Daphnia pulex: one gene and its partner. The main gene of each other region encodes a partner of the protein of the gene in region 2 in a complex. Links are inferred from orthologs where the notes say so. Each region holds a gene or a part of one and is shown on either strand. Other genes may lie near its edges.

The links.
Region 1: the proteins of methylcrotonoyl-CoA carboxylase subunit alpha, mitochondrial-like (region 2) and methylcrotonoyl-CoA carboxylase beta chain, mitochondrial-like are in contact, whole or in part, in a cryo-EM structure (PDB 8JXM), measured with the Homo sapiens proteins. The link is inferred for Daphnia pulex from reciprocal best matches to the Homo sapiens genes MCCC1 and MCCC2. Residues at the interface, in NP_064551.3 of Homo sapiens: Glu519, Phe526, His531, Asp532, Phe534, Ser535, Pro536, Phe537, Ser538, Ser539, Ser540, Ser541, Gly542, Arg543, Arg544, Leu545, Asn546, Ile547, Tyr549, Thr550, Arg551, Tyr568, Tyr636, Leu637, Ser641, Glu644; in NP_071415.1 of Homo sapiens: Leu56, His57, Val60, Glu61, Lys64, Asp88, Ile91, Pro93, Gly94, Ser95, Pro96, Phe97, Leu98, Glu99, Gln102, Ile123, Gly124, Arg125, Gly128, Glu130, Arg234, Trp276, Leu278, His281, His282, His285, Lys298, Lys299, Leu300, Ile304.

Annotation. Positions count from the first base shown.
Region 1 is NC_060021.1:11,219,000-11,223,271, reverse strand, and holds methylcrotonoyl-CoA carboxylase beta chain, mitochondrial-like, read right to left. Parts: upstream 2,889-4,272; 5' UTR 2,779-2,888; coding exon 2,629-2,778; intron 2,526-2,628; coding exon 2,272-2,525; intron 2,211-2,271; coding exon 2,103-2,210; intron 2,032-2,102; coding exon 1,899-2,031; intron 1,832-1,898; coding exon 1,653-1,831; intron 1,589-1,652; coding exon 1,534-1,588; intron 1,469-1,533; coding exon 1,328-1,468; intron 1,271-1,327; coding exon 1,121-1,270; intron 1,054-1,120; coding exon 830-1,053; intron 762-829; coding exon 647-761; intron 583-646; coding exon 379-582; 3' UTR 325-378; downstream 1-324. Other genes in the region: UDP-glycosyltransferase UGT5-like, read left to right, coding at 1-199; fez family zinc finger protein erm-like, read left to right, coding at 3,647-4,185, 4,251-4,272. UniProt on the Homo sapiens protein: Carboxyltransferase subunit of the 3-methylcrotonyl-CoA carboxylase, an enzyme that catalyzes the conversion of 3-methylcrotonyl-CoA to 3-methylglutaconyl-CoA, a critical step for leucine and isovaleric acid catabolism.
Region 2 is NC_060018.1:1,614,391-1,617,085, reverse strand, and holds part of methylcrotonoyl-CoA carboxylase subunit alpha, mitochondrial-like, read left to right. Parts: intron 1-1,272; 5' UTR 1,273-1,323; intron 1,324-1,384; exon of another isoform or gene 1,385-1,406; 5' UTR 1,407-1,566; coding exon 1,567-1,634; intron 1,635-1,767; coding exon 1,768-1,945; intron 1,946-2,009; coding exon 2,010-2,227; intron 2,228-2,297; coding exon 2,298-2,532; intron 2,533-2,647; coding exon 2,648-2,695.

The DNA of each region.
Region 1 (4,272 bases), on a different chromosome or scaffold from region 2:
TGCCTATTGGGTAGAACACGTCCTTCGTCACGGCGGACCAAAACACCCTCAAAGTAAAGACATGCCGTTTTATCAAGTTTATCTGCTTGATGTGTGGCTCTTTTTGTTTGTGTCTTTGGTGTTCACAATGTTTGCATCCTATAAATTTGGGGCATTGATTCTTCGAAGACTTACAAGGTCAAAACTTAAAACACATTAACGTGTCAGGCGAAATATCTGAATAAATAAAGAAATAAAAATTTATTAATTTTGAATGATGGTTATAGTCTAGGTAAGAATGCCTGTGAAACAAAAATGTAATTATGAATCAATAAATTGTTTTTGGATGACCCAACATCAATAGTTATCTATATATTTTATACACTTTCTCGCCCAGATTTACATTCTAAAAATACCAAATTTAGTGGATGGGATTGGGGCATTAAGCGCTGCACTAAGACTCAGTGCCAGAACTTTGCGTGTGTCAGCTGGGTCAATTACACCATCATCCCACAGTCGAGCCGAAGAATAGTACGGAGATCCTTCAACATCATACTTCTTCAAAATCGGATCTTTTAATGCTTTCTCTTCCTCAGCAGTCCACTATGAAAGGAAACGATTTTTTTAAATTGGAAAACAAGCTTAATTAAGCATCTATGGGTTGTACCTGTTTGCCTTCTCGTTTTCTCTGCTCTTGCGAAATCTGTGCAAGGACTCCGGCAGCTTGTTCACCACCCATCACTGAAATTCGCGAATTCGGCCACATGTACAAAAATCTTGGGCTAAAAATAAAAAGAAGAGTGCATTTGAACCAAAAACATTTGCGTTAAGAGTCTCTGACGAACAATACCTGTAGGCTCTTCCACACATCCCGTAGTTTCCGGCTCCATAGCTTCCACCGACAAGAACGGTTAGCTTTGGAACTTGAGCGCAAGCAACAGCTGTGACTAGCTTAGCTCCATGCTTAGCGATGCCGCCTGCTTCCGCCTCTCGTCCGACCATGAAACCGGTGATATTTTGAAGAAAGATAAGCGGAATACGGCGCTGGCAACATAATTCTACAAAATGGGCTCCCTATGCAACAAAGGGGGCAAATTATACATTGAAGAAATAAGCAAATGAAAATGGAAATGGGTCACACTTTCATCGAAGATTCAGCAAAGAGAACTCCGTTGTTTGCAATGATTCCGACCGGATAACCATGGATGCGTGCAAATCCTGTGACGAGTGTTTCTCCGTATTTGGCTTTGAATTCGTCAAATCTCGATGCGTCTACGATTCTAGCGATGACCTACGTTATTTGCAATAGGACTGAAATTCTTTTCTTGTTTCATGTTATTTAATATACCTCACGAATGTCATAATTTTTCTTAACATTGTCACCAACGATTCCATAAATATCATCGGCAGGATAGAGAGGTTCTTCTGGTGGGGCTACAGAAATATCCGGCTTCTTCACCAGATTCAGATTACCAACAGCCCTTCTTGCCTAACAAAAATATGAAAAATTACAAACGGAAATGAATTAACCCAATAAGAAAACATTATACTAACCAGATGTAATGCATGGAGATCATCAACGGCATAGTGATCCGTAACTCCGGATTTACTAGTAAGTAAAGTTGTTTCAGTTATAAACAGCTATGCAATGAAAGGTTAAATTATTAAAATACCTGCAATGAAGGTCCGCACCACCCAATTCTTCTGCGCTGATTTCCTCACCCGTGGCAGCCTTGACTAGTGGAGGTCCAGCCAAAAAAATGGTTCCTTGTTTCCTAACAATAATACTTTCATCGGCCATAGCTGGTACATAAGCGCCACCCGCCGTACAAGATCCCAAAACTACCGCAATCTATTTTGGACACAAAATGTTGATCACACATGGAAAACTATAGAGTATTGTGAAATTTGCACTATACTTGAGAAATTCCCTTGGCAGACATGTTTGCTTGATTGTAAAAGATTCTTCCAAAATGTTCTCGATCAGGGAAGATTTCGGCCTGGTGTGGCAGATTGGCACCTCCAGAATCGACCAAATAGACACAAGGTAAACTGCAACACATTTTTGTTTGAAGAACAATCGTTAGTTTGCATTTAATACTCTTTTTAAGGAAAATATTCACCTATTCTGTTCGGCGATTTCTTGCGCTCTAAGATGTTTTTTTACTGTAATTGGGTAGTAACTTCCACCTTTAACAGTTGCATCATTCGCAACAATAACGCATTCGTTTCTGCAATTTCAAGTGAGGACGTAAGATTACGACAACATGGATTCTTTGTTAAAATTTTTACCCCATGATTCGTCCTATTCCAGTAATAACACCTCCGGCAGGAACCTCATCAGATCCATACAAATCCTTTCCAGCCAACTGAGAAAATTCGAGGAATGGTGAAGATGGATCAATTAAAGCTTCCACCCTCTCTCTCGCCAAAAGTTTTCCTCTTGACTTGTGTCGCTGAGTGGCTTTTGCACCTCCTCCTTCTTGAACTCTCTGAATATTTGCTTTCAGTTGGGAGACTAAGACTGCCATTCTATTGTAATTATCCTGTAAGAAGAATTAACTGTATGTTAACTAACAATTATAAATTTTCAGAATTGAAACTACTATTAAATTAAATTTTAAAGCCTTTCAGAAGTAAAAAAACAACCTGGAAGGTGTCAGAGTTTCTATCTTGATCTGTTCCAATCGGAACGACATTATCATTTGCATAGTAATTTCTGGAAGAAACAGGGACAAGTCGTTTCATATTGCACATTACACGGTAGCTGAGATTACTGTATTTTGCGATCGACATCATTTTTATGGGACTATCTCTCGGAATTAGAGAGCCTTCTCAAATTTACGGAGTTGTTTTTCTCGAGTCTTTAAAGCCCGGAATTAGTTACAGTAAAAAATGAAAACAGTTCGTCTGCAAAGAAATGTAAACCCAACGTTGCCTTTGTGGATCCGCAAACTAAATCAATTAAATCCAGAAGCTAGACCAATTATTTAGGACCATAAATCATGAAATATCACTGAATTTTTTATAAATATACTACTTTATGCAATACTGGGGTACAGAAGGAATAGTTTCAATTTGTAGGTTTGTTATCAGACCAACTGGTTCAAGCAACTCAGTTAACCGTAACATTGGTCGGCTGGTCGCCGAATCCCAGAAAGAGTCTACGAAATCTTCGTTGAGTTCGTTCTCGTTCGTCATCGAGTCGGCGGTATCGACTGTTCTTCGTTTCAGTTTCTTGTATTTTGTTGTTCGTGTGTAAAAGATATGGTTCTCTAAAAAAAAAAATTGAAGATTATCGGCGTGTTTATCAGTGCCTTACGACATAGTGTATACGGTTTCTGTATTTGACTTCATTTGTGATATCGTCTAGTGAAAATAACAATGAGGGGGTACTACATCGTGATGGAGAAAAAGATGGTGTAGCAGCGATGGTGAAAGAAGCGAACAAACAGGGCTAGGCCACCTGCCAGTGATAACTCGAACGTGACTTCTTACGAGGTCGTTGACATTCTGCGTCATTCCTCCTTGATTTGGGGTATATTTTTGCAAATATTTTGATCATTTGATTAACTGCAACTTCAGCTTATGTGTTCATTCAATAATTATTTGATATTGCAGGTGTTTTAGTCAATAATTGTGGTGTCTTGAGAGGGAAGGCTCAGTCATGGACTATCCAGATGCTTCCTATTCGCAGCCACTCAGACTGACTTATTCCTTACATTCCAAAACTATGATGGAATCTATTCAATCTTGTCAGAGAAGACTGTGTTACACAGATGTACAGCTTATATCTGAAGGAGGGATTGTCTTTGCTCATAGCATAGTCTTGGCTGGTGCAAGCAATTTCCTCAAACATCTATTGATCAGTAATCCTGATCCTACAATCGTGATTCATTTGCCTGGTGTTGATTATGAGCCTCTACGTTTGCTGCTTGAAGTTTTGTATGGTGGGGAGGAACTACAACTGACTCTAAAGCAGGTTGTAGCCCTGCAGGACCTTGGTTCCCTTCTTCACATTGACATGTGTAACTCTGCAGCAATGGAACAGGCATTCCTTCAAGCATCTCAAGAAGGTGTTCTATCCATTCCTGGATCTCTTCAGCATTCAGTTGACATTATCCCATATAGTAATGAGTCCAGTCCGGCTCCTACTCCTCAACCTCCGCAACATTTCGAATTGCCTTCTCGGCGCACTCCAGCTAGGTAAAAGTTCGTCTATTCATTTTACAACATTACAAATGATTATTCTTTTTTTATATACTGTATAGATCCAGTAACAGCCCTGGGAAA
Region 2 (2,695 bases):
TTTGTGACGGTTAACTTCATATTCTAACGCGTTATGGGGACGACGCTTTCACGCTGATTGCAACTGACTGGGAAACTACGTGCCCGTAATTACTTTTGCCTCAGTTATTAAAGGGCAAGATGTGCACCGGAATTATAAAAGAGTATAGGCCTAGCCCGCGCATACAAAGGAGCTGAGGAGCAAGGAAGAGAAATGAAAGTTATGGCTCATTCATGATGTCTGCCTCATCTGAGGCAGAGTCATATGAAAAGGCACAGACGAGACGGAGACGAACGACTGACTGAAATAGAAAAGGATTCCACTAGAGTTTGTGCAGTTTATCTCATGTGTAATGCACTGCTCAGCGCAGTTACCCAGAAAAGAGCCAAGGAGAAAATGCATTGCATTAAATGGGGGTATCTACACAACAATGCCTTGTCGCACAACCAACGGACGGTAAAGTCGAGGACGGGGAGTAGAACCTGAACGACATGAATGCAGCATCGATTTTTGCAACGCGCTTCATCCGGCTCGGCTCGGCGGAAGCCGAGTGACGATCGATACCCTCAGACCCCAGAGAATTTTGGCAAATTAATCATTTTCGGGCCCATGGTAGACCAATATTGCCGCACTTTATAAGGCGATCAGACTAGAAAAAAGAAACGAACTGATTAATAGTTGACTGCAGCAACAAACTCTGAATCGTAAATTATTAACGGGGTTTCTGCCTCGATATCGGTCGGTCACGGACTTGCTATTATTATTTGATTTGTAATGCATCAAGATGAAGGCGGAACATGGTCGGCGATGTTTAAATCAAAACCCGTTCTTGGAAACGCAATAGGGAGTTTGGGAACAAAAATAGAAAATCTGTTGAGTCAACAACTTGATAATCGGTTTAGTTGCGCACGTACTCATATTTCAATGGCTCAAAGCTTGGCACTTCAGTTTAGGCTGGCATATCAAAAGATCAATACTTCAATTGACGTGAATTAGGCTTGCAATTCTTTAGAAGTTCGTCGTCACAATTAACGAATACGAAGTCTTGAAGGGAGGTCATAAGACGTAGGCATAATTGCACGGTTCTGGAGCCAATCTGAATTGTACGGTGAATAAACAAGGCTAATTCAAAAGTGGAGCTCCTCATTATAATCTCCCCGTGAATTGGGTGGAAGTTGCCCTCCAACAAATGCGTGAACCATGAGTTTAAAATTTTTTTGATCACGAATTGTGTCTTTTGAAAAATAGGAATTAAATGAATTGTATAATAAACCCATCATTTTACTATTTTAGATTACGGGCGTAAAGACAGGAGAAATTGAGTCACGTGTCGGCAGAGTAAATGTAAGTTTCCTTCAATACTATACATTTTTTTATTTATTTTTTATTTTAATGTTACCAAAAGACTTGTGTAGCATTTTAAATAGAGACGCAAATCTGGAAATTGAAAAAAAAAATGGAACGGAACAAACAGCAAAACGTGTGCTTTTAGAAATGTGGCATTGGTGCATGGCCGCTGCATTGACGTAAATAAAGATTTCTGCTCTTGTAAAGTCTCTTAGAAAATCTACGGAAAACAACTTCAAAATGGGCCTTTACGGAATAAGGGCATGTTTGGCAGGCAAATACGTTCAAAGGAGCTTGTGCACAACTTGGTAAATACCGGTAGTCAGTATATGACGTCAAGAATTTAATTTATGAGTGGCTACATTAAGAGCTAACTACATTACAATACAATTTGATATTATGAGAAGAAAGCAAAATATTAATGGCACTATTTTCTTGCAGTAATTCTCTCTCACCAAATGCAACTAAAGCTGCCCCGAAAGTTACACCCCTGTCCAAGATTCTAATAGCCAATCGAGGTGAAATTGCCTGCAGAGTCATCAGGTCTGCAAAACGGTTAGGCATCCAAACTGTTGCTGTTTACAGTGATGCAGATCGTAATGCTATGCATGTTAACATGGTAACAACTTTAGAGATTGTATTTGTATTTATGTTTTATATTACATTTGAGTTTACATATTCAGGCTGATTCTGCCATCCGCCTTGGCCCAGCATCCTCTGTTGAAAGTTATCTAAGACAAGACAAGGTTCTAGAAGCTGCTTTCAGAACAGGGGCTCAGGCAATACATCCTGGATATGGATTTCTCTCTGAAAATGTTGAATTTGCAGAGCTTTGCTCTAAAGAGGGTATTATATTCATCGGTCCTCCTGCTTCAGCCATCAGAGACATGGGGATTAAAAGGTATTATTTGTGAAAGTTGTTAAAAGTTTATCATGGAAAATTCTATTCGGAACAATCTTTTATTTCACAGCACCTCCAAACACATCATGTCAGCTGCTGGAGTTCCTGTGATTCATGGATATCATGGAGTGGATCAAACTGATGAAAGATTAAGGCATGAGGCAGAAAAAATTGGATTTCCACTCATGATTAAAGCTGTTCGAGGTGGAGGTGGTAAAGGCATGAGAATTGCGCTTACACAGAGTGAGTTCGAGACTCAGCTCGAGTCTGCTAAACGTGAAGCACAAAAGTCATTCGGGGATCAGGTAGAGAAATTCTTGCATTAATCTTCCTAATTTTCTGTCATTTTTGATAACTGCATAAATTGCAGAATAGAATCAACCGTTAAAAACTAAAGAATGTATAACTCTTTTTGGATAGGTTATGTTATTGGAACGTTATGTTGAAAGGCCTCGACACGTTGAAGTG